Linked DNA regions of Macaca fascicularis. The protein of the gene in region 1 purifies or fractionates together with the protein of each later gene. This does not show direct contact. Links are inferred from orthologs where the notes say so. Each region holds a gene or a part of one and is shown on either strand. Other genes may lie near its edges. The genes, in order: SERBP1 and TSR1.

The links.
Region 2: the proteins of SERBP1 (region 1) and TSR1 purify together in Homo sapiens (affinity purification with mass spectrometry; 3 studies listed by BioGRID and IntAct, with this or other methods). This does not show direct contact. The link is inferred for Macaca fascicularis from reciprocal best matches to the Homo sapiens genes SERBP1 and TSR1.

Annotation. Positions count from the first base shown.
Region 1 is NC_088375.1:167,244,818-167,256,701, reverse strand, and holds the start of SERBP1 (SERPINE1 mRNA-binding protein 1), read right to left. Parts: upstream 9,456-11,884; 5' UTR 9,354-9,455; coding exon 9,041-9,353; intron 5,342-9,040; coding exon 5,191-5,341; intron 4,338-5,190; coding exon 4,197-4,337; intron 4,096-4,196; coding exon 4,006-4,095; intron 3,452-4,005; coding exon 3,329-3,451; intron 1-3,328. UniProt on the Homo sapiens protein: Ribosome-binding protein that promotes ribosome hibernation, a process during which ribosomes are stabilized in an inactive state and preserved from proteasomal degradation.
Region 2 is NC_088390.1:2,439,147-2,451,592, forward strand, and holds the end of TSR1 (pre-rRNA-processing protein TSR1 homolog), read right to left. Parts: intron 12,342-12,446; coding exon 12,231-12,341; intron 12,071-12,230; exon of another isoform or gene 11,978-12,070; intron 11,162-11,977; coding exon 11,029-11,161; intron 10,906-11,028; exon of another isoform or gene 10,811-10,905; intron 7,382-10,810; coding exon 7,265-7,381; intron 6,813-7,264; coding exon 6,672-6,812; exon of another isoform or gene 6,562-6,671; coding exon 6,487-6,561; exon of another isoform or gene 6,358-6,486; coding exon 6,179-6,357; 3' UTR 5,865-6,178; coding exon of another isoform or gene 5,649-5,864; 3' UTR 5,340-5,648; coding exon of another isoform or gene 5,130-5,339; 3' UTR 4,655-5,129; downstream 1-4,654. Other genes in the region: SRR (serine racemase), read left to right, coding at 137-263, 1,101-1,204, 3,548-3,667, 3,803-3,877, 5,130-5,339, 5,649-5,864. UniProt on the Homo sapiens protein: Required during maturation of the 40S ribosomal subunit in the nucleolus.

The DNA.
Region 1 (11,884 bases):
CACTTATAGCAAATAAAAACAATAGCCATGTTTCTACAAATCCTAAAATCCTTATACTCCAATTTTCAAACCAACCTGTATATGGAAAGGAGGCCAAGGATTCACTGCTAATAGAACTATCCACAAACACACACTGGTTTCATTATTTAACACTAAACCATTTATTTCTAAATATAATTCTCCAGTCTATAACTATTGAATACGATCCTTTCCTCTTTTTACAGAAACAAAGCACTGGCCTAAGGATCCATTATTTTAGTATAATCTCAATTTGCAATTGTCATCAAACAAGTCATTTGCTATTTGGGGAGCCCTTCTTTCCAAAGATAGCAGGTGATTCAGTTAGCTTTAGAGCTCAAATATCTCCCTGGATGCTGCCCTTTACCATTTGACAAATCCTATCTTAAAACTTCCTCCAGTTATATCTATGCTGCAAAAAACAAAAAACAACTCTAGAGCAAGTTTACACTGAATTGGGTACTGAGTCCACCCAGTCATTTTACAGATGAGAAATCCAAGAATATAAAAAAAGTCCTGGTTACCCATGTTATAACACAGCCAGGAATATAACTTAGCATACCTTTTATCATATCATGGAGGCATGACACCCACCTTTCAGGAATCACTGCAAAGATTAAATAAAAACCAAACAGAAGCTCTGGAAGCTATATATAAGCTAGTTAATCAGTCAGCCAATGTTGTGTTTCTTAAATTTATACTTCCATATGCTATGCCCAGATTCTTCCCTACTCTGGAGTAAGATTAGAGACAGTTCTAATGTGATGGATAATTATTTTCTTTAAACCAAACACCTTCAATTTCATTCCTGGGTACTCAGCTAAGGATTTGCTACCGATACGCTATCAGCACATTAGTACCTTTTGGTAAAGTTATAATATTTGCAGATCACTCTGAGTGATTCAACATGGGCTCTATTAAACAGTTGTGGTTGGACGCCGTGGCTCACACCTGTAATCCCAGCATTTTGGGAGGCCAAGGCAGGAGGATCACTTGAGGCCAGGAGTTCAAGACCAGCCTGGCCAACATGGTGTAACCGTGTCTCTACTGAAAATACAAAAATTAGCCGGGCATGCTGGAGCATACCTATTGTCCCAGGTAATCGGGAGACTGAGGCAGGGGAATCACCTGAACCTCAGAATAGCCAAAATCGCACCACTGCACTCTAGCATGGGAGACAGGAGACTGTGTCTCAAAGAAACAAACAAACAAAAATGTTGACCACTGTGAGAAACTTAATGTTGCATAGGGTTCATTTGTTAAGGCACCAATCACAATTTCATTGTTTATCAGGCAAAAGTATGATTCCATTATAGTTTTGCATAAATTTGTACTACCAAGTTCAAAACATCACCCAATACTAGGTACTTTTATCTACTCCCTCCAATAGTATATCATTTTTCCTTATCCCAACAAATCCATGGAATATGATACTCCCATCATTAACAGTGTTTCACCATAAGAGCAATTCTTCCTGAAGAAAAGAAAAAATTCAAGGCCAGGCGCAGTGACTCACGCCTGTAATCCCAGCACTTTGGGATGCTGAGGTGTGCGGATCACCTGAGGTCGGGAGTTGGAGATCAGCCTGACCAACATGGAGAAATCCCATCTCTACTAAAAATACAAACTTAGCTGGGCATAGTGGCACATACCTGTAATCCCAGTTACTCAGGAGCTGAGGCAGGAGAATCACTTGAACCCAGGAGGCAGAGGATGCAGTGAGCCGAGATCACGCCATTGCACTCCAGCCTGGGCAACAAGTGAAACTCCGTCTCAAAAAAAAAAAAAAAAAAAAAAAAAGAGCAAGTTTAGAAAGCATCTGCCCCTCCCACCCCCAAACTAACTTGAATATGCTTCTGGTTAGGAATCACTGTCCTAAACAACCTGTAATCCAAGACTTTAAACCACAATAACAAATAACTGACAAAATAAACATAATTTTAGGCCAGGCGCCGTGGCGCACGCCCATAATCCCAGCACTCTGATCAGGAATTCGAGACCAGCCTGGCCATTATGGTGAAACCGTCTCTACTAGAAATATAAAAAATTAGCCAGGTGTGGTGATGCACGCCTGTAATCCTAGTTACTCGGAAGACTGAGGTAGAAGAATTGCTTGAACCCAGGAGGCAGAGGTTGCAGTGAGCCGAGATAACGCCACTGCACTTCAGCCTGGGTGACAGAGCGAGACTGTCTCGAAAAAGAAAAAAAAAAAAACACAAAACAAAAACACGTAATTTTAAAAGCTAGTGAAGGGCCAGACGTGGTGGCTCACTCCTGTAATCCCAGCACTCTGGGAGGCCGAGGAGGGCAGATCACCTGAGGTCAAGAGTTCAAGACCAGCCTGTCCAGTTGGCCAAGACAGTGAAACCCCTCTCTACTAAAAAATATAGAATATTAGCGAGGCATTAAAAAAAAAAAAAGTTAGTGAAGGGCTGGGCAAGATGGCTCACGCCTGTAATCCCAGCACTTTGGCAGGCCAAGGTGGGTGGCTTGCCTGAACTCACGAGTTGAAGACCAGCCTGAGCAAAATGGTGAAACTCTCCTCTACTAAAAATACAAAAATTAGCCAGGCCTGGTGGCAGGCACCTGTAGTCCCAGCTACTCAGGTGGCTGAGGTGGAAGGATTGTTTGAGCCCAGGAAGCGGAGGCTGCAGTGAGCCAAGATCACTCCACTGCATTCCAGCCTGGGCAACAGAATGAGACCTGGTCTCAAAAAAGAAAAAAATGCTCGTGAATAACATACTCTGATCTTTGCTCTCTTCACACATTTAAAAACAGGCCAGTAATGCTATGTTCCAAATTCTACGTTGGAAGTAACTTCAAGACAGAACTAATCTTAAAATGGCCACATTTTCTACTTTTAACTATCTCAAAGTAAAATTTGTACGGTTGTATGACAATGGTAAAATGACTAATCAAACAGAAATAACCACATTAAAATATTCTATTTTTCAAAGCATAGTCAAAATATATACACATAAAGCACTCTTTTAAGGGCTGGGTGCAGCGGCTCATGCCTGTAATCCCAGCACTTTGGAAGGCCAAGGCAGGAGGAACGCTTGAGCCCAGGAATTCCAGACCTGCCTAGGCAATATAGTGAGACCCTGTCTCTTACCAAAAAAAGAAAAAAAAAAAAAAAAAAAAAAAAGCATTCTTTTAAATACTCTTTGAGGGATGAGGGTACAATACGTCTCCCTTGTCAAAAACAAAAAGCCATCAAGCAACAGCATTAAATCTATGGGTTATCTCATTGGTCAAAATCCAGTGCTTTCAATTCTGGGTCATTACTATTACACGCAAAACCACTTACTTATTTTCAGTGTCTGCCACTGGATGATGTTCTTCACCTTCAGGTGTTTCCTCAGTCACATTTGATTGATCCAAGTCACTGTAATTATAAGATATTTGTTTCTGAATGTATTTGGGGGACTCTCTAAGGAAAGAAAGAAAAAGAAAGGCATCTAGGTCCATTTACATGTAGCTGAAGAGTTCTTCATACAAAAATACCGTAAGCCCTCACATTCTCTAACTCCTTTCCTACTAAATATACTCCCCAGAAGACCTTGAAAAGCAAATAATATAAACTATTTAGTTCATATACTTCATACTTAAAAAGTAACAGAACAAGGCAGCTAATTATAAAACCAAGCTTTACTAGTTTAACAAATTTTGTAATGACAACAAAGTCAAAAACTAGAATAGGAACTATTAAGGACACTAAGATAATCAGAATACCCAAATAACCTTATTGTGGGGTTTCAGGAAAAGCTACAAATATATATGGGGGAAAAATGAGTAACAAATATATTGAAGTATAGAAAAACCAGTCATTCAATACACTACAACCCAAATTCATCCCATAGGACATTATCTTACAGTAGCTCTCAGAGGAGAGCATTCATTATCTCAGAGACAAGTAAAATTTGACAGAGGTATGGATTAACCCCTAGTTAGGTACAGAATTTTTTAAAAAATCAGAATACCAACGTTAATTCATCTTTGACAGTTCCCCAGTTGTGAGATCCGCTACCTCCACGTTTGTCCTCGTGCTTCAGGCCACTGTAATGTGAAAAAGAACTAACAAAACTGAGTTAACATAATACTCTTTAGTTCTAGAAATTCAAAGTTTGTTTATTAGATTAAAATATTAAAATAAACTAAAAACCAGTAAGACTTACGATCTATCACTTCCACTATGCCTATCAAATTCACGTTTGCCACGAGAATCAAATCCATCTCCTCGGCCCATTCCACGTCCACGGCCCCCTCGACCTCTTCCAAGACCACCACGACCTCGAATAGGTCGGTCAATAATCGGTCTATAATATAAACAAATTATACTTCCATGGTTTCCAGAATGAGGAAAATCCATCCAAAAACCCAAAAATACAGAACATGTTTACCAGCTCAAAAACCAATAAATACACATGCTTCAGAAAATTCAAAATAGTCTATTTCTAAACATAAAGGAAGCCAGAACAAGAAAGCCTCCCAGAACAAGAAAACTATTTTAGCACTCTAAAACATTACTACCAATGCATATACTTTTCCACTGTTACTCATTGCACATATAATCCAGTCCATCACTATTTACTAATACACTTAAAAATTAAACACATTTAATAAACCAACAGTATTTTCCTTCTAACTCTGTATCGGGAGACAGCAAGAAAAAAAAAGTGGTTATCAATTCAATAAAGTGCTTCCATTACAAGAGACCTAAGTTTGAACCATCACCCAAAGGTCTAAAACATAACAATGCACACATACAGATGTTTCTGTCAAAAACTAATAGAAACAATTAGCCAGACTGCTACCTGGCAATTATTCCCAATTTATAGCTTAACATTAAGCGGTGACTCTATAAAGTAACAAAATATGAAGACTTTTTTGGTTCACGCCTGTAATCCCAATATTGCAGGAGGATAGCTTGAGCAGAGGAGCTCAAGACCCACCCATGCAATATAGATAGTGAGACCTCAGCTCTACAAAAAAATTAGCAGAGTGTGGTGGTGTGATCTTGTAGTCCGAGCTACTCAGGAGGAGGTTGAAATGAGAGGACTGCTTGAGCCCAGGAAGCAGAGACTGTAGTGAGCTACGCTTGCATCACTGCACTCCAAGCCTAGGAGTTAGACCAAGATCCTGGCTCAAAAACAAAAAAAAACAACTTACCGATCAACTGAAAATTCGCCTCCTTCACCCTTTTCTTCAATTGGCTTTTCGAATCTTCGTTCACGAGGTGGTCGCCTTTCTGGTCTTCTATCAATTATTTTCCCTTCACCCTGAAGTTGTTGATCAGGTCTTCTTCCAACTCGTCTTATTCCTAAAAGGATAGATAACCTGCATAAGCAAACTATTTTCGCAATACAAAAAGTTTAGGCCTGGACTGTCAAAAAGCTGCTTCTCTTCCAATCCACTACCATTTCCTGTTGGAAAAAAGTAAACACTGGGTAACTCTAATGTGTAACAAAGTACCTTAGGGAAACTGCCATTTAAAGACAATAAACCTTCCAATCCATACCACGGACCAAATACATAAATAAATAAAATACAGACAATAAACTTGTTTTAAACTTCTATTTAGTTTGCCAAGTTATTCTCCCCCTCATAAGCATTTTCTATAACTGACTTGGAAATCATTTGGGCAACCATTATTCCCGTCACTTTTCAAGATATCAGTCTCTTAATAAAAAGTTTTAAATTTAAAAAATGTTAGGCAAGTGATACATTTTGGCTTTTAAAATACCAAAGAAAATACCAGCAGCCGTTCATAATAACCAAGCAAATCAACACACTCACTAGATATGGCCCCTCACAAAAGTGAGGGCCACACTTTGTTATCCTATCTAATCTGAAAAAACAAAAAAGCAATTAAGACTCATAATTCTATGGAATCACAAATCTGAAAGGAAAATATGGCATTTAGGATTATTAGAGAACATCACCTCAGTTTAAAACAGCCATTTAACCAGAAAGTGTCATCTTTTAGTCTCAACTGCAGGCACACAAAAAGGGCCATCTTCCCCTATTAAACAGTTTAAAAATTTATAGCATGTAAGTGTATATATGTTTGTACACACTCCCACATCTCTAAGTACTTCCAAGTTAGGAAACAGTTACTTATTATGCATGGAGACAGTCCTCTAAAAAATCTGCCCTAACAACTATCTTTATTGTCAAATAATCTTTAAAAACCAAATCCACACACATAAGACCCCTTTTAAGCAGTAGGTAAGAAATAAGAAACTTGTGACACTAAGTGATAGCTGAAGCATTTACTAATTTCCCCCTTTACTGCTTTTCCTGTAATGTTTGAAACCCCACAAAGGCAACCAATTTAAATTACTAGTGCCCTTAAGGATCAATAGATGGATGATTAAATTAATGACTTTAAGATTGTTGGTATGCTCTAATTCCCAATTTCTGACAAAGTCATAAAGCAGCTGAGGAATTGGTTTTACAAGATTTTAAGCTGCTTCACTTTGGTTCGAAGAAAGTAGAACACCATCAGGACACACCCAATTGTTCAATTGCCTGTAACTGGAGCCAAACAGTAACTATCAGTCTCTTCAATAGAATTTTGAAGTTCATTCCCAGCAAATACAAGACAGACTACAAATGTTAGACCTTACACCAAGGTATTTAAATAAATGTCATCAGTAATAAAGCGTACTGGGGTGGAGTTAAGGAGCCAGTCCTTGCAATAATATCCAAGCCACACACACCCAAGTGAACAATAGTTGGCGTCCCCACCCAATATCAATATTAAGCTTACAGAATCTTAGAAACTTAGATTAAACTCACCTAATGAAAAAGACTGACATTTAAAAATGCAAGCTTCTTTTGATATACTTATGTATAACCTGCAAGCTCATTAACTGCACTAGTTTCAGGCATCCATTCTGTTTTAGAAAATGCCTGGTCTACACTCTCAATGACATTCTGCTATCAATTCTCAAGTTCTTCAAATAGGCAAGAGAAGCTACAAAATTAATTCATAAAACATAAACATTAAATATCTGTCTAAAGTATGTCAAGCATTATGTCACAATGTGTTGTCAAAACCACAGAACACAATCAGGTTAACCTTCCTACTATCTGCAGGGATTTTGTTTACAGATATATTCCCAGTAAATAGGACAGTAGAATCTCAAAACGGGTATTGTCCATTCAACACTTTTCTTGTATTTACATGCTTGTATTTTATGCAACTTAATAAGAGTGCTCTGAAATACTGACCTAAGGAAAATGTTGATTGCTAATATGGAATAGTTTTCCCATGGAAAGACTTATTGAATGGTGAACTTAAGTCTTAGTTCTAACTTCATGAAATCATTCCCCACATTTGTCACTTAAAATACTTTTCAGGTAAGAGCTTATTTCTTAGATGGGCTTCATGATCAAAATAACTCAGGCATTTAAACATGCTTCATGTTTTGAACATTCAAAATGAGTGAACACATCTACCTGGTACACACTATTCGTCAGACTCAACTTTTTTGTTTACTTTCTTAAGCTTAAGCATAGTTTAAATAATTACACAAGTCAGCATTACTTAACACACGAATTAAATGATTTATTTAGGTGTGTTAGATTGCCATAAAGCTTAATTGGCTGAAGAGATACTTGGCCTAAGTGATGTACATGCTTTCTAATACTCCAACTGTGTTTCTCCTCAACCTATAATTTTACCACAAGAATTATTTTCTTCATTCACCACCTAGGACCGAGGTTCTTCATTCTAAGCCTCATAAAAGTCCTCAAAAAAAAAAAAAACCACAAAAAACAATAAACCTCCTAAAACAAATCCCACCACGAGGAAATTGTTTTGATTTTCAAAATTAGTTGAATGTCACAGAAGTCAACAAAAGCTAATGAGAACTCCTTTCAGAGAAGCACGTGGCAGGAAGGGGTAATTTCAACTTTCAACATATAAATACAGCTTTAAAGATTCAGACCTTAGGTCCGACACCTGCTTGCTATTGATCATGCACGTTCTTATCTTCGAACTACTTGCTCTTTTTCATCCGTAACAAACTGGTAATGAGAATGCAAAAATCAAGACAATCCTGTGAAACTCACAGTGCCCTGGAAGCAACTATTAACCGCCAGTGAAACTCTGACCATGCTTCACGCACATGTGGAGGGGGAAAAAAAAGCTGCAGACTCTAAAGAGCTCTGCTGCGACTAACGCTGTGACAGCCTCTGCACTCACTTTACCCACGAGGCCCAGAGTCCACCATGTGAAAGACTCAGTTTGGGGAGTCGAGAGAGAGAGGATCGTGACTCGAGGACTTTCCTCGGGACGTCCTGCGATCACCAGTCTTCATTCATAATTCCCGCTTCTGCTTAGTCGAGTGTGGCCAAACTCCTCCATTTCCCAACAGCTCAACTCACCCCAGCAAGTTCTGAGAAAGTCCTAACAGTTGAGAGGTGGAGGAGAAACAATAAAGCACACGCGGCACCCCAACCTGCGGCTGACTCCACACGTCCGATGGCCTGGAACGACCCCCTGCTTTTCGGCGGGGATACTCCGCGCCGTCGTGGGACAAGATGGCAGGACAGGAGCCTGAAACAACAGCACCTCAAAGGAGCAGCTCTGCGCAGTAAGCAGCGATGGACCCCGAGCCCCTCCGTAACTACGGCAAGCGTCGGTGAGCGGCCGGCTTCCCCGCACCTCAGTCCATGCGCTCGCCCGCCAAGGAATCCGGCGGGAAGGCAACAGCCTCCCCGGACCCCGAGCGCGCTCGAGGAGCAGCTCATCTCCGACCACGCTCCTCCGCTCACAACCTAAGGCGGGAAGGGGGTGGCTCCGAGAGCCTCGCCGGCGGTGGCTTGAACTTGGGGCTACCACGCTCCTGGCACCTTCGCAGGACCTGGCTTTTGTCGCGTGAAGAAACGTGAGGAAATAGGCGGCAAAGTCTCCCGCGGACCCTCGGAGCTCCAGAAACAAGTGGTAGCCGGCAGCCCTCTCGCTCCTTCCCTCCATCCCAGTCTCCCCCACATTCTGCCCCTGCTTTACCTTCTTTCTTAAGCGCCACGGGCGGCTGCGTCTCCTCTTTCTTGTCAACCACGCCAACGCTGGGGGGCAGCGGGTTCTTGCGGTCTTTCTGGGACTCCTTGCGCAGCTGTTTGCCTGCCGCGTTGGAGTTGGTCTGGGCCGCGGCCTGAGCTGCGCTCTTGGCCCCGGGGCCCCCAACGCCGCCCCCGCCGGCTTCTTTTTTCTTGTTCTCCGCTGCCTTCAGCACCTCGAAGGGGTCCGATTCGTCGTCAAATAACTGGTCGAATCGGTTGGTGACCACGCAGCCGAAGCCTTCCTGTAAGTGCCCAGGCATGATGGTGGCTCGGCGGCGCGTTCCTCCACGGATTGCAGCGGGCCGCGCCGAGCCAAGAGCGCCTGCTTCAGCTCTTCCCACAAGATGGCCGGGCCGAGAGAGGGGGGCCGTCTTCTCTTCCGGCGCCAGGCACACATCCGGGAGCGGCCAGCGCCGCAAGGCACTGTGGGGTGTGTAGGCCAGAGTAGTTTCTCCTGAGGCGACTCCCTGCGTTGGGACTACAATTCCCAGGATGCACCGCGCGACAACTCTTCGCGCGCGCCCGAGAGGCGGGACCCCAAGAAGGGAGTGAAGCGTGCGAGCTGAAGGAGGGGAAGCGTGGTGGTGGGCGGAGTCCTGCCACCTGCTCTGGTCGCCCTTAAACTCTCTAGGTCTTCAGCTACCCTGAAACCAGAAAAACGTGACGGCGTAGCTGACTCGCGAAAGTGCTCTTTGGTTTCACTCACGCTCCCTCGGGCTCAGGCTAACTTTCCCCACCGCTCCGGGAAGGGTCAAGGTGACTCCCAGACCTTACATCTGAGACGCACAAACTTCCGGGGGAGGGGGTGTTGCTGAGACGCCGCGCCGGCAGCGAGTAGGCTGGACCCTGCCTGTGCCAAGTCCGAGCAGCTCAGTCGCTGGAGTGCCCTTTTGTCAGGCTCCACGGTGAATCGAGGCTCTTCTGTCTAATGTGAGGTGGAATACGTTTCCTCTCGCGGGGACGTGAACTAGGGTAGCAGAACTAACCAAAAAGACAAGTGAAACTATCACATGGGAGTGTGGCGCGTCTTTCCCGGGCTTCTCACCGTGTGGCGGCCGGTGTCGTAGGAGTGGTTAACTCCTGACTGTGCAGCGCTAGACACTGGGCAAGCCGCTAGGAAGCACTGTTTACAGAAACGCTGTTACAGTCATTCCAATTAATTGTCCGTTCGTGTCCGGCAAGTCAGGGCTTAGGTGGCTGTGGTGTTAGTCACATGCGCTCAATAAATACCATTTTAGAGCATTTCGAGTGCGTGTGTGCTAGGAGTTGCGGTGAGGGGTGGGAAATATTGAAGTCAATACTTAATAATAACAAAGCATTGATACTAGTTGAGAATATTAAAGTTCATTAAAAGAATACAGTTTGAATGCATTTTAAGCACATTTGGTAGCACCGTGTTTAAATATATCATAATTTTTAAATCCTTTTCCATTAACACAAAATAGCAAATGCATCTCTGGCAGGAGCTATGAATAACCTTGAACTCAACATTGTGTTACGCAAATAGTTGCCTCTTTTCACAAATGCTGAAACCACTTCAGAGATGAAATGATTTACCAAATTCACACCTCTGTAAGTGCTAGTGACAGGTATTAGCCCAGCCTTCTACCTCCACTAGGAGACCGGACATCAGCTCTTTAATTCAGACTCTGCACTGATAGAAAGCTGTCCAATGTTTAAGTTTCCGATATGATTTAAACATGGTTGTGTGTCAGGGTATGTAACATGGCGGAATGTAATCATCAATTTCCGAGCAGATTTTAAATCAATTCCTTAGCAGGGAAAATAGAAGACACGAGTCATATTACATACATGTGGCAGCAAACCTCCTGGTTTTCTTATTTCTCAATCCTCCCCTACTCTTCAGAGCCACTTACTTCCCTGCTGCCTCAGTCCTACCCACCCCAACCTCAAACACACCCCCTATCTCATCCTCTCTTTCACAGGCTCTGGCTCCGTGGCACCTACCAAGACAAGGAGCTTTTGACCATACTCTTCCCACCTTTTCGAAATAGCTCAAGTGCAATGTAGAAGATCTCCACATTTTGACAGATCCTCTCTCTTCACAGGCTGTTGCATCTTTGAGACTATCTGCATCTTTGAGACATCTGTGAAAGCTCCTCTTCTTACCTCTTTCTGGCCACGGCCACAGTAACGATATTCATAGCCAAAATGTGATGTTTTAGTATGTGCTTGGTGCACTTTACGTATGTGATCTCCTTTAAACCTTACATCAGCTCTATAAGAAAGTTATTACTCCATACCCCCCCCCCAAAAAAAGGTTATTACTTCTGTTTTAAGATGAAGAAAATGAAAACAAAGAGCTTAAGTAAGTTAACTACTCCTGCCACAATCGGGGGCTGGAGCAGGCCTGTTGTTAGTCATTTTTTTCCTCCATTACAGATTTCTGGTTTGCTCAGACAGATCTTCGTGACCACCAAGCATTATTATAATAAGAATATTTGAAAATAAGCTACACTTAGAGAAATTTTCGGCTATGAATTTATGAGGTTCATTTATGCTCCTCAGAGAATTTACCTATTAAGATTACATAAAAATGTTATGAATAAGCATTTGAAGAAAAGGGGAGAATCTTTTATATTTCTGAAAAGTTTTAAAGTCCATTTTTAAAGTATACAAATAAAGCTCAAGATGGTCTTTTACATCTCTCAATCGTTATTTTATAACTAGTTATTTTCAGTTTCCTTTATTCTACAAAGTTGAAATATTAATTTCTTAATATTAAATATTAAAATTCTAAAAGTTCTTGCTACTCTCACTAGGAAAACAT
Region 2 (12,446 bases), on another chromosome or scaffold:
ATATTTAGAAGGTAAATCGGTAAGATTTGGTAACAGATTGGATGTGCATGTTAAGTATAGAAAATCTAGAAAAGCTCCTTGCTTTTCAAAACAATGTTTTAATCAAATATGTGAATTCACCATCCCTCTTTTTCAGATCCGTGGTGCTCTTAATGCCGTCAGAAGCTTGGTTCCTGATGCTTTAGAAGGGAAGCCGAAAGCTGTTGTTACTCACAGCAGTGGAAACCATGGCCAGGCTCTCACCTATGCTGCCAAACTGGAAGGTACTTGATTTCTCAAGGTACTGGGTAGATCATCAGAAAGGAGGGGAAAAATGTCCTTAATTTCCATGAGAGTGATGATAGCTTTGGTAAGTAATTTTCCAAAGAAATCTCCATCTGATTGCAAGCAATATGAACATCGTTTCTTTTAATTTTTTTTTTTTTTTTCTGAAAACAAGAGTTTTGCTCTGTCACCCAGGCTGGGAAGCAGTGGCGTGATCTCAGCTCACTGGAACCTCCGCCTCCCGGGTTCCTGCCTCAGCCTCCTGAGTAGCTGGGACTACAGGTGCACACCACCACACCTGGCTAATTTTTTTTATTTTACAAATACAAAATACTAATTTCACCATGTTGTCCAGGCTGGTCTCGAACTCCTGGGCTCAGGCAATCCACCCGCCTTGGCCTCCCAAAGTGCCAGGATTACAGGCGTGAGCCACCACACCTGGCTGAACATGTTTGTTTGTTGTTGTTGTTGTTGTTGTTTTTGTGAGAAGGAGTCTCGCTCTGTCGCCCAGGCTGGAGTGCAGTGGCATGATCTTGGCTCACTGCAAGCTCCACCTCCCAGGTTCACACCATTGTCCTGCCTCATTCTCAGGTATCTGGGACTACAGGCGCCCACCACCATACACGGCCATTTTTTTTTTTTTTTTTTGTATTTTTAGTACAGACGGGGTTTCACCGTGTTAGCCAGGATGGTCTTGATCTCCTGACCTCGTGATCCACCTGCCTCAGCCTCCCAAAGTGCTGGGATTACAGGCGTGAGCCACCACATCTGACCACATAAGTTTCTGTTCTACATTCTCCTGACTTGTAGTAACCAAACATGTTTTCCTCTCCCAGGAATTCCTGCTTATATTGTGGTGCCCCAGACAGCTCCAGACTGTAAAAAACTTGCAATACAAGCCTACGGAGCGTCAATTGTATACTGTGAACCTAGTGATGAGGTAAGGAGAGCAGTGTTTGGTACCACCTTAACAGCTTTCATTTGACCAATGGCTCTTTCTACCTTACCGGCTGCTCCTTCTCAGCCTCCTTTGTGGTTTCCTCTTTATTTCTGTTACATGCTCAACCTTTTCTCTATCTACACTCACAAGATCTCATTAGTCTCATTGCTTAAATTATTACCTATGGTCTAACAACTCCAACTTCTCTCCCCTTAACAGCCGTCTTTTATATCCAACAGCTACCTAATTTTCCCACTTGATGTCTTAAAAGGCATCTCAAACTACATCTAAAACCAAACTCCTGATCTTACTTCCCTATATTTCTTCCCTTCCAGGGTTTCTCATCTTAGTAAATGGCAATTTTTATTCTTCTAGTTACTCAAACAAAAAAAGTTGGAGTCATCTTTGTGTTTCTGAAAACTTTTTTTGTTGTTGTTAGAGATGGAGTCTTCCTATGTTGTGGGATCCTCCTGCCTCAGCCTGTTGAGTAGCTAGGACTACAGGTGCATGCCACCACACCTAATTCCTTTATTTTTTGTAGACAGGGTCTCACGGTTGCCCAGGCTGGTCTCAAACCCCTAGGCTCAAGCAATCCTCCCACCTTGCCCTCCCAAAATGCTAGGCTCACAGGCATGACCCACTGCACACAGCCAGGAATCATCTTTGATAACCCTCTCATACTCCACATCCAAATCTCAGTTTGCTTTCAACATACTTCCATAACCCAACTGCTTCTGGGTCTACCGTTAACCACCCTGATTCAAACCAACATCAATTCTCACCTATATTCAATTCAGTAGCCAAACTGGTCTCACTGCATCCACCCTTGCCCCACTATAGGGTTTTTTGAGCAACAGAGCTCTCCATTTAACAAAGTCAGAACTCGTCTCTTTTCAAGTCAAAATTTTCTGTTGGTTTCCCATCTCATACACAGTGGAAACCAGAGTTCTTGCAATCATGTAAGCCCTGGATGAACTCAAACATTCCTATCTTTTTGACCTCATCTTTTTTTTTTTTTCTTTTGAGACAGAATCTCCCTCTGTCACCCAGGCTGGAGTGCAATGGCACGATCTCTGCTCACTGCAACCTCCGCCTCCCGGGTTCAAGCAATTCTTCTGCCTCAGCCTCCCGAGTAGCTGGGACTACAGGTGTGTGTCACCACACCCAGCTAATTTTTGATTCTTTTTTTTTTTTTTTTTTTTGAGACGGAGTCTCGCTCTGTCGCCCAGGCTGGAGTGCAGTGGCGCGATCTCGGCTCACTAAGCTCCGCCTCCCGGGTTCACGCCATTCTCCTGCCTCAGCCTCCCGAGTAGCTGGGACTACAGGTGCCCACAACCGCGCCTGGCTAATTTTTTGTATTTTTAGTAGAGACGGGGTTTCACCGTGGTCTCGATCTCCTGACCTTGTGATCCGCCCGCCTCGGCCTCCCAAAGTGCTGGGATTACAGGCGTGAGCCACTGCGCCCGGCTTGATTCTTTAGTAGAGACAGGGTTTCACCATATTGGCCAGGCTGGCCTCGAACTCCTGACCTCATGTTCCACCTGCCTTGGCCTCCCAAAGTGCTGGGATTACAGGTGTAAGCCACCGCGGCCAGCCCCTCATCTTCTTTTATTGAGACAGGGTCTCGCTCTGTCCAACCCAGGCTGGAGTGCAGTAGTTCGATCTCAGCTCACAGCAGCCTGTTTCCTGGGTTCAAGAGATTCTCATGCCTCAGCCACCAGAGTAGCTGGGATTACAGGCACGCGCCACCACACCTGGCTAATTTTTGTATTTTTAGTAGAGACAGGGTTTCGCCGTGTTGGCAAGGCTGGTCTTGAACTCCTGACCTGAAGTGATTCGCCCACCTTGGCCTCCCAGAGTGCTGGGATTATAGGCATGAGCCACTGCACCCAGCCTTGACCTCATATTCTATTACTTCTCTTGCCCTCTCTGTGCCAGCCATACTAACCTTTACAGCTGTTCCTCAGAAAGGCCAAGCACTCCTACTTTGTAGTCTTTGCACTGTTATCCCCTCCCTGGAATATTCTAGACATCCACAGCACTTGTTCAGATCTTTTAAAATGTCACTTTACTAGAGGCTCTTCTTGGCTACCCTATATGAAATAAATTCCTTAATTTTACTCCATTGCACTTAGACATACCATATATTTACTTCCCCCATCTCTACCATATAATATAACCCCCTTGAGGGAAGAGATATTTTGTTTATTAACATATATATCTCTAGTACCTGAACAAAGTCTGAAAAAAGTAGATGGTCAATAAAATGTTGAATGACCAAACGGAACTTGTTGGGGACTCTATTAAATACAAATCAATTAAACTAAATTAATGTACTTTCAGTCCAGAGAAAATGTTGCAAAAAGAGTTAAAGAAGAAACAGAAGGCATCATGGTACATCCCAACCAGGAGCCTGCAGTGATAGCTGGACAAGGGACAATTGCCCTGGAAGTGCTGAACCAGGTAAAATAGCCGAGTTCTTCCTGGTTAGCTACTGGTAAAGCTGTTGGGCTATATTCAATTATTTTATATGTACACATTAAATATAAAATTGCTTACTAATAGGCCCATTTACAGTTTTTATTCTTTTCACTAAAGGTTCCTTTGGTGGATGCACTGGTGGTACCTGTAGGTGGAGGAGGAATGATTGCTGGAATAGCAATTACAATTAAGGTGAGCAACTTCTGGAAGATTCCCTACTTCAAGCAGAGGATTTATTTTACATCATAAATGATTTGTATACACGTGCTCAAAATTCTGCACACATTACCATTCCTTCCCCTTATTCCTTTGGGACTTGAGATGAAGGCCCGTCTCTGCCTCACTACTCTATTTACTATTTTTTTTTTCTTCAAGACAGACTTTTGCTCTGTCATCCAGGCTGGAGTGCAGTGACACCATCCTGGCTCACTTCCACCTCCACCTCCCGGGCTCAAGCAATTCTCCTCTCAGCCTCCTGAGTAGCTAGGATTACAGGCACACGCCACCACACCCCGCTAATTTTTTTGCATTTTTTTTGTAGTAGAGACGGGGTTTCACCATGTTGGTAAGGCTGTTCTTGAACTCCTGACCTGATGATCTGCCTGCCTTGGCCTCCGAAAGTGCTGGGATTACAGGCGTGAGCCACTGCACCTAGGCTATTTATTATTTTTAGTATTTTTTTTTTAAGAGATGGGGTCTTGCTATGTTGGCCAGGTTGGTCTTGAACTCCTGGGCTCAAGCAATCCTTATTCTGGCCTCCCAAAGTGCTAGGATTACAGGTGTGAGCCACTGCACCTGGCCAACTCTCTTCTTAATCCATGACAATTTTACAGCACAAAAGCAGTTCCCATAAGTGACACCATCAGTCTTTTCCCTGAATTCCATGTCATCAAGCTACTATCCATACCAAGAGGCTACCCTTTTCTCAAATTACCAGGAGAATCAGATGCGATCCAGGCAATGGAAGGCTAGTATCAGACATATAATTTATTTATAAAGTGCTTGAAAATATTTTCATTATATCCATAAAATGAAAGGCTCTTACTTGGGCAGAAATGTATTACTTATTGTTCCTATTTTCTTTTCTTTTTTTTGAGATAGTATAGCTCTGTTGCCTAGGCTGGAGTGTAGTGGTGTGATCTCAGCTCACTGCAACCTATGCCTCCCGAGTTCAAGCGATTCTCCTACCTCAGCCTCTCAAGTAGCTGGGATTACAGGTGCCCACCACCATGCCTGGCTAATTTTTGTATTTTTAGTTGAGACTGCATTTCACCATGTTGGCCAGGCTGGTCTCGAACTCCTGACCTCAGCTGATCTACCTGCCTTGGGCTCCCAAAGTGTTGGGATTACAGGCATAAGCCACCACACCCTGCCCCTATTTTCTTTTAGACATACAGGCAATGTTGTGGTTTGTTGTAAGATGTCTTAATATTCCTCTTCCCAGGCTCTGAAACCTAGTGTGAAAGTATATGCTGCTGAACCCTTGAATGCAGATGATTGCTACCAGTCCAAGCTGAAGGGGGAACTGATGCCCAATCTTTATCCTCCAGACACCATAGCAGATGGTGTCAAATCCAGCATTGGCTTGAACACCTGGCCTATTATCAGGGACCTTGTGGATGATATCTTCACTGTTACAGAGGATGAAATTAAGGTAAGGCTCCAACAGGAAAAGAAATAACAAAGCATGGTATAACTTCTTAGGCAGAAGAACCTTCTGTTAGGAGTAGCAAGTGACCCACGGGAACTTGACAAGGTAACTTCATGACATGGGAGGGTACCCTAGATGTATTAATGACAACCCTCTTGACAGAAGCAGAGTTAGAATTAAAGAAAAGCTTTGGGAAGCATGTATACACAGTGATAAGAAAATTCAAACTGGACATATATTCTCATCTGACCTTTATAAGTAAACCAACTAGACTCCCCTATAACTAATTCCTACTCCCTTCCATATCAACAGCGTGCAACCCAGCTGGTGTGGGAGAGGATGAAACTACTCATTGAACCTACAGCTGGTGTTGGAGTGGCTGCTGTGCTGTCTCAACATTTTCAAACTGTTTCCCCAGAAGTAAAGAACATTTGTATTGTGCTTAGTGGTGGAAATGTAGACTTAACCTCCTCCATAACTTGGGTGAAGCAGGCTGAAAGGCCAGCTTATCAGTCTGTTTCTGTTTAATTTACAGAAAAGGAAATGGTGGGATTCAGTGTCTTTAGATACTGAAGACATTTTGTTTCCTAGTCAGTCAACTCTTAGTTATCAGATTCTTAATGGAGTGGTTATTTCATTAAGATTTAATAGTTTTTTTGGACTAAGTAGTAGAAAAACTTTCATACTTAACTGAGACATTTTGTCAAGGCTAAAAAAAAGTCTTGCAAAATGGGGCAGCAGACTGACAGGCTGACATAGAAAATAAACTGCCCAATCACAACTTGTGCCTCCCATCCCTGACTACTGGCTGGCACCAGTAAGAAGGAATCTCTTTGAATCCATTACTCCATGCCCTCCTGAGGTACTACTGAAGAACTCTCACTTTTCACCCAGGGTACTGGTTCTGGTACATATGGATCGTAAGTCCATTTGGGGAAAACTCGTTTATAGAGGTTCATCAGTACTGTGTCTTGAGATTTTAGCTTCCCATCAAAGCTGCATTTCATGTGGCCATGGGTACCTAGAAAGAAAACAGAACAAGTCAGTCTAATTAAAAGTAGAAAATTTTAAAGCAATGACTTCCAACCCAATAGTCATTTAGCATCACTGCAGAAACGTAGACATGGTCCCAAATCCCATGTTTCCTTACCTAAAGGCTCCTTGATATGTCCTCTCCGGCCCCACTTTGTTCTCAGTTCCACTGGTTTAAACCACAGCACATCCTCTTAGAATCAAACACATAAAACACCAAGATGAAATATTTACCCACAAAATGTAAACCCAACCTTCATACCACAAAGGCAATCAGATCCCATCCTCCTCCTTCATACCTACCTCTGTTGAAGAACATGTAACGTACTACTGCCATCTTAGTAAAAATTTTGAAAGGATGACCGCTCAAAACGACTCTCTTGATGACCATTCTGTCTGGATCTACTGACATAAGATGGCCTGTAGCAATGAGGCTGTGCATTCCTAAAGCACAAAAGCAAAGAAGCTATTTAGGAATTTACAGGCCAAAGTCTTCATTTATTGCCCCAGTCCATCTAAAGACCCATGTAAGAGCCTGGTTTGTCATCCCTGCCCTAGCCCAATCTGAGGCTAAGATTGGTAAACTGCTAAGTCCACACTTAACCTTGTCAATAGGTTCTTGAAAACTTGTACTTGAAGAGAAATGATGTATAACAAAACCGTATTTTTTCTCATCAGTTGTTACAAGGAAAGGATGTTGAACAAAAGGCAGTTATTTGAAGACTGGCTATACACTGTTTCACTTAAAACAACGTTAAGTGAAGACTTACTGTATTTTGAAAACCATCATTACCTTCTCCATACCATTTGGCTCCCAAATCTAAATACAGAAGAGAAAACAGTGTTCATCCTATTAAGGGCCTGCAGGGTCTGTTCATCTCTGTGGCTCAACTTACCATTGCTTTTCTGCTTGAAAAGCAGCACAGATGCAGGAGGAAAAGTGATTGGTGCATAGACTGTCACCACCAGGGCCATGTCAGCAGTCAGGAATCTCTGCAATTTATGTTTGTCCGCTGCCATAAGGGTTAAAATATGAAAACCAAAACCATTTTGAGAAACCAGAGGCAATAGAGGCCTGTGAAAAGCTGGATTAGTGCAACTCTTAAACCTACGGCAGCTTCTACTTCTCTAATCCACCAGTTCTCAAAAATTTTCTCTGCCTCAATACACCTAAAAGATAGTCTAGTCCTATCAGTAACTTCTTTTTTTTTTTGAGTTTGAGTATCGTTCTTGTCACCCAGGCTGGAGTGCAATGGCGTGATCTCAGCTGAATGCAAGCTCCGCCTCCCGGGAACAAGCCATCCTCCTGCCTCAGCCTCCTGAGTAGCTGGGATTACAGGTGCCCGCCACCACTCCCGGCTGATTTTTTTTTTTTTTTTTTTTTTTGAGACGGAGTCTCGCTCTGCCGCCCAGGCTGGAGTGCAGTGGCCGGATCTCAGCTCACTGCAAGCTCCGCCTCCCGGGTTCACGCCATTCTCCTGCCTCAGCCTCCCGAGTAGCTGGGACTACAGGCGCCCGCCACCTCGCCCGGCTAGTTTTTTGTATTTTTTAGTAGAGACGGGGTTTCACCGTGTTAGCCAGGATGGTCTCGATCTCCTGACCTCGTGATCCGCCCGTCTCGGCCTCCCAAAGTGCTGGGATTACAGGCTTGAGCCACTGCGCCCGGCCTGATTTTTGTATTTTTAGTAGAGACGGGGTTTCACCGTGTTGTCCAGGCTGGTCTCGAACTCCTGACCTTGTGATCCGCCCACCTCAATCTCCCAAAGTGCTGGGATTACAGGCATGAACCACAGTGCCAGGCTGTATCAGTAACTTTTTAATTATTTTCAGATGGTGTCTTGCTCTAGTTGCCCACGCTGGAGTGCAATGGCACCATCTCTGCTCACTGCAACCTCCACCTCCCAGGTTCAAGCGATTCTCCCACCTCAGGCTCCCGAATAGCTGGAATTGCAGGCGCCCGATCAGTAACTTTTTTATCTGGAGTCAGAATCTTGGAGCCTAGACTGTATGTGATGTTCTACCTTCAATGTAGCTTTCATTAAAATATTTAAAGGGCAGTGGTGTGAACACAGCTCACTGGAGCCTCAAACTCCTGGGCTCACTGGCTCAGGCAATCCCTCTCGCCTCAGCCTCCCAAGTAGCTGAGGCTGCAAAGCACATGCCACCACACCTGGCTAAGTTTTTTAAAAATTTTGGCAGAGTGCAGTGGCTCACGCCTGTCATCCCAGCACTTTGGGAGGCCGATGCAGGCGGATCACCTGAGGTAGGGAGTTCCAGACCAGCCTGGCCAAGATGGTGAAACCCTATCTCTACTAATAATACAAAAATTAGCTGGGCATGGTAGTACACGCCTATAATCCCAGCTGCTTGGGAGGCTGAGATAGGAGAATCACTTGAACCTAGTAGGCAGAGGTTGCAGTGAGCCAAGATCCTGCCACTGCACTCCAGCCTGGGCAACAAGAGCAAAACTCCATCTCCCCAAAAATGAAATTTTTTTTGTAGAGGCCGGGCATGGTAGCTCATCCCTAAAAATCCCAGCACTTTGGGAGGCCAAGGCACGTGTGCAGATCCCTGAGGTCAAGAGTTTGAGACCAGACTGGCCAACGTGGTGAAACCCCATCTCTACTAAAAATACAAAAATTAGCTGGGCGTGGTGGCGGACGCCTGTGGTCCAAGCTACTTGGGAGACTGAGGCGCCAGAATCATTTGAACCCAGGAGATGGAGGCTGTAGTGAGCTGAGATCATGCTACCGCACTCCAGCCTGGGTGACAGAGCTGGACTCTGTATCGGGAAGAAAAAAAAATTGTAGAGACAGGGGTCTCACACTCCTGACCTCAAGTGATCCTCCTGCCTCAGTCTCTGGAACTAAGACTTTGATTTAGTTCCAGTTCTAAGGATCTGCCTTTATGAAATAAGCAGAGAAGTAAATAAAGTTTTATGCACACAGATCTAATTTAGAGCAAAACATTAGAAATAGCCTAAGTCCTCACCTGTAGAAGCTCAAATAAATATCAGTACATCACATACACTGGAATATATCCAAATGACAATAAAGCATTAAAAGTCTCATAAACTAATTAATCTTATGGAAAATTGATCAAAATTAATTAAATGATAAATGCAATGTTTAACACCATATTTACAATTACAATCCAAATTCTGTTAAAAAAAAAAAAAAAAAACAGAGATCCACATGAAAATGTATAAAATAAAAGTGAATTTTCTCTAAGATAATTGTACTTTTACATTATTCCTTATTTTCCCAACTGTCTAAAATATGAAAATAGTTATTTCATCCTAAAAAAAAATCAAAACCATTTTGAAACAATAAAAAAATGATTGGCCAGGTGCAGTGGCTCACGCCTGTAATCCTAGCACTTTGGGAGGCCAAGGCAGGAGGATCGCCTAAGGTCAAGACCAGCCTGGCCAGCATGGTAAAACCCTGTCTCTACTAAAAATACACAAATTAGCCAGGCGTGGTGGCAGGCGCCTGTAATCTCAGCTACTCGGGAAGCTGAGGCAGGAAAATTGCTTGAACCTGGAAGGCAGAGGTTGCAGTGAGCCTGGATGGCACCATTGCACTCCAGTTGGGCATCAGAGTGAGAGAGACTCCGTCTCAAAAAAAAAAAAAAAAAAAAAAAAAAAAAAAGGCCAGGCACGCTGGCTCACGTCTGTAATCCCAGCACTTTGGGAGACCGAGGTGGGCGGATCACCTGAGGCCAGGAGTTCAAGACCAGCCTGGCCAACATGGTGAAACCCCATCTCTACTAAAAATACAAAAATTAGCTGGGCATGGTCGTGCGTGCCTGTAGTCTCAACTACTCTACTTGGGAGGCTGAGGCAGGAGAACGGCTTGAACCCAGGAGGCGGAGATTGCAGTGAGCCGAGATCATACGATTGCACTCCAGCCTGGGCAATGGAGTAAGACTCGTCTCCAAAAAATAAAATAAAATAAAAAATAACCAGGCCGGGCGTGGTGGCAGCTCACGCCTGTAATCCCAGCACTTTGGGAGGCCGAGGCAGGTGGATCACAAGGTCAGGAGATCAAGACCGTCCTGGCTAACATGGTGAAACCCCGTCTCTACTAAAAATACAAAAACTTAGCTGGCGTGGTGGCGGGCGCCTGTGGTCCCAGCTACTCGGGAGGCTGAGGCAGGAGAATGGCGTGAACCCGGGAGGCGGAGCTTCAGTGAGCCCAGATCTCGCCACTGCACTCCAGCCTGGGCGACAGAGCAAGACTCCGTCTCAAAAAAAATTTAAAAAAAAAAAAAATATATATATATATGATTAAACCTTAGTTTTTTTGGTCTCCAATTCCCCATTCTAATGCCACAAGTGTTGGGATTATGGGTGTAAGCCACTGCACCACTTCACCCACCCTAATACCCTTTTTACAGAGCTGCCAACTTCTACTCAAAACCTGCTCTGGAACAAATACTCATGGCAAAAAAGCCTCAGTATCACACAGAGGTTGCATCACTGGGATGCTTCAGACAGGTTCAGACATTTTGAGTAAAAACATCATTGGCTCTTAAGCCAGAGTACTGAAAATACCTCTAATCCAGAGATGTAAGATTTTGAAACCATATTCTGTACCCCTCCACAAGTCAGTTTCCCAAAAGACAAGATGGACAAGAACCCAGGTTCCCCACTGCTAACCTGCAGTGTGCTGAGAGAATAAAGGTGAGGCTCGGAAGCGCCTGAATCCACAGTGGAATATGAGCTCTTCTTTGGCTTTCACGGGTTCAGTGTTGCCAGGGTCACGCCTCACCACCATATTCAATACTGACATCTGGGGACCAAGTAAGAAAAATAAAAATCTTCATAGCCTAGGAATACAATTGCCTAAACTGAAAGAAGGCAAACCAAACTAGCAGATTCAGACTCATTCTAAGAACTGACAATGCTAATTAATGGGGAGTGCAGATGCTGAAACACAGGTTCATCCTTTCCCTCCACCAATGACTGGCATTTAAGCCGAACGTAGGCTTAATGTAGGCTTAACGTAGGAGCGTTCAGGCACCCTTCAATGCTAACCTACCTTCCTGCATCTAACAGAAAAGAGCTCAACATCTGCCACACAAAAATCAGTGGCCTTCAAGGCATTCACTCACCACAATCTCAAAACCACACTCATTCAAGCCCCTTCTTCTTGAGCCCTTACCAAAACCCATCAAAGAACTATCACATACCCCCACAACATACACAACTACTGGCCACCAAAAGAAAAGAGATCTGCACCTTGGCACAAACTTTTTTTTTTTTTTTTGACATGGAGTTTCACTTTTGTTGCCCAGGCTGGAAAGCAATGGCGCAATCTTGGCTCACCACAACCTCCGCCTACCGGGTTCAAGCAATTCTCCTGCCTCAGCCTCCCAAGTAGCTGGGATCACAGGCATATGCCACCACGCCTGGCTAATTTTGTATTTTTAGTAGGGATGGGGTTTCTCCATGTTGGTCAGGCTAGTCTCAAACTCCCGACCTCAGGTGATCCGCCCACCTTGGCCTCCCAAAAAGTGCTGGGATTACATGCGTGAGCCACCGCGCCCAGCCAAACCTTTATTTTAATGGCTGCCAACCCTTGTTCAAAATCTGGTCTGAAAAACACACTTAGAGAAGTCTCAGAATCACCCAGAGATTGCATCACCGATGTTTCAGACAGGTTCAGACAACATGAATAAAACCATCACTGACTTCTCCATTATTCTCCAATTCCTAATCATAAAGGGAGACTTTCTGTATCCCAATGAGCAAAATGTTAGTCATACATAAACAAAATTTTAGACTGTCAGAAGCAGCTGCAAAGTTTCATAACCTCCCATTTTCATAACCTCCCATTTTCCTACAAGACACTAATTTACCTTCTGTTCGTGAGGTAGTAAAGAAAATGCAATCAAGGGTGCTCCTTGCCTGAAGCACTCGACCACTGAGACAGGGACTTCAGAGACATGAAGTGTGACATACCAGCCAACCTGCCATAAGAAAGCAGAAAGCAATCATGGAGTTACCCTTCAAAGTCCCAATAATGAGGAAGCTTCCTCCAAATATGCTGAGTCTCTCAGATGACCTTTTTAAAG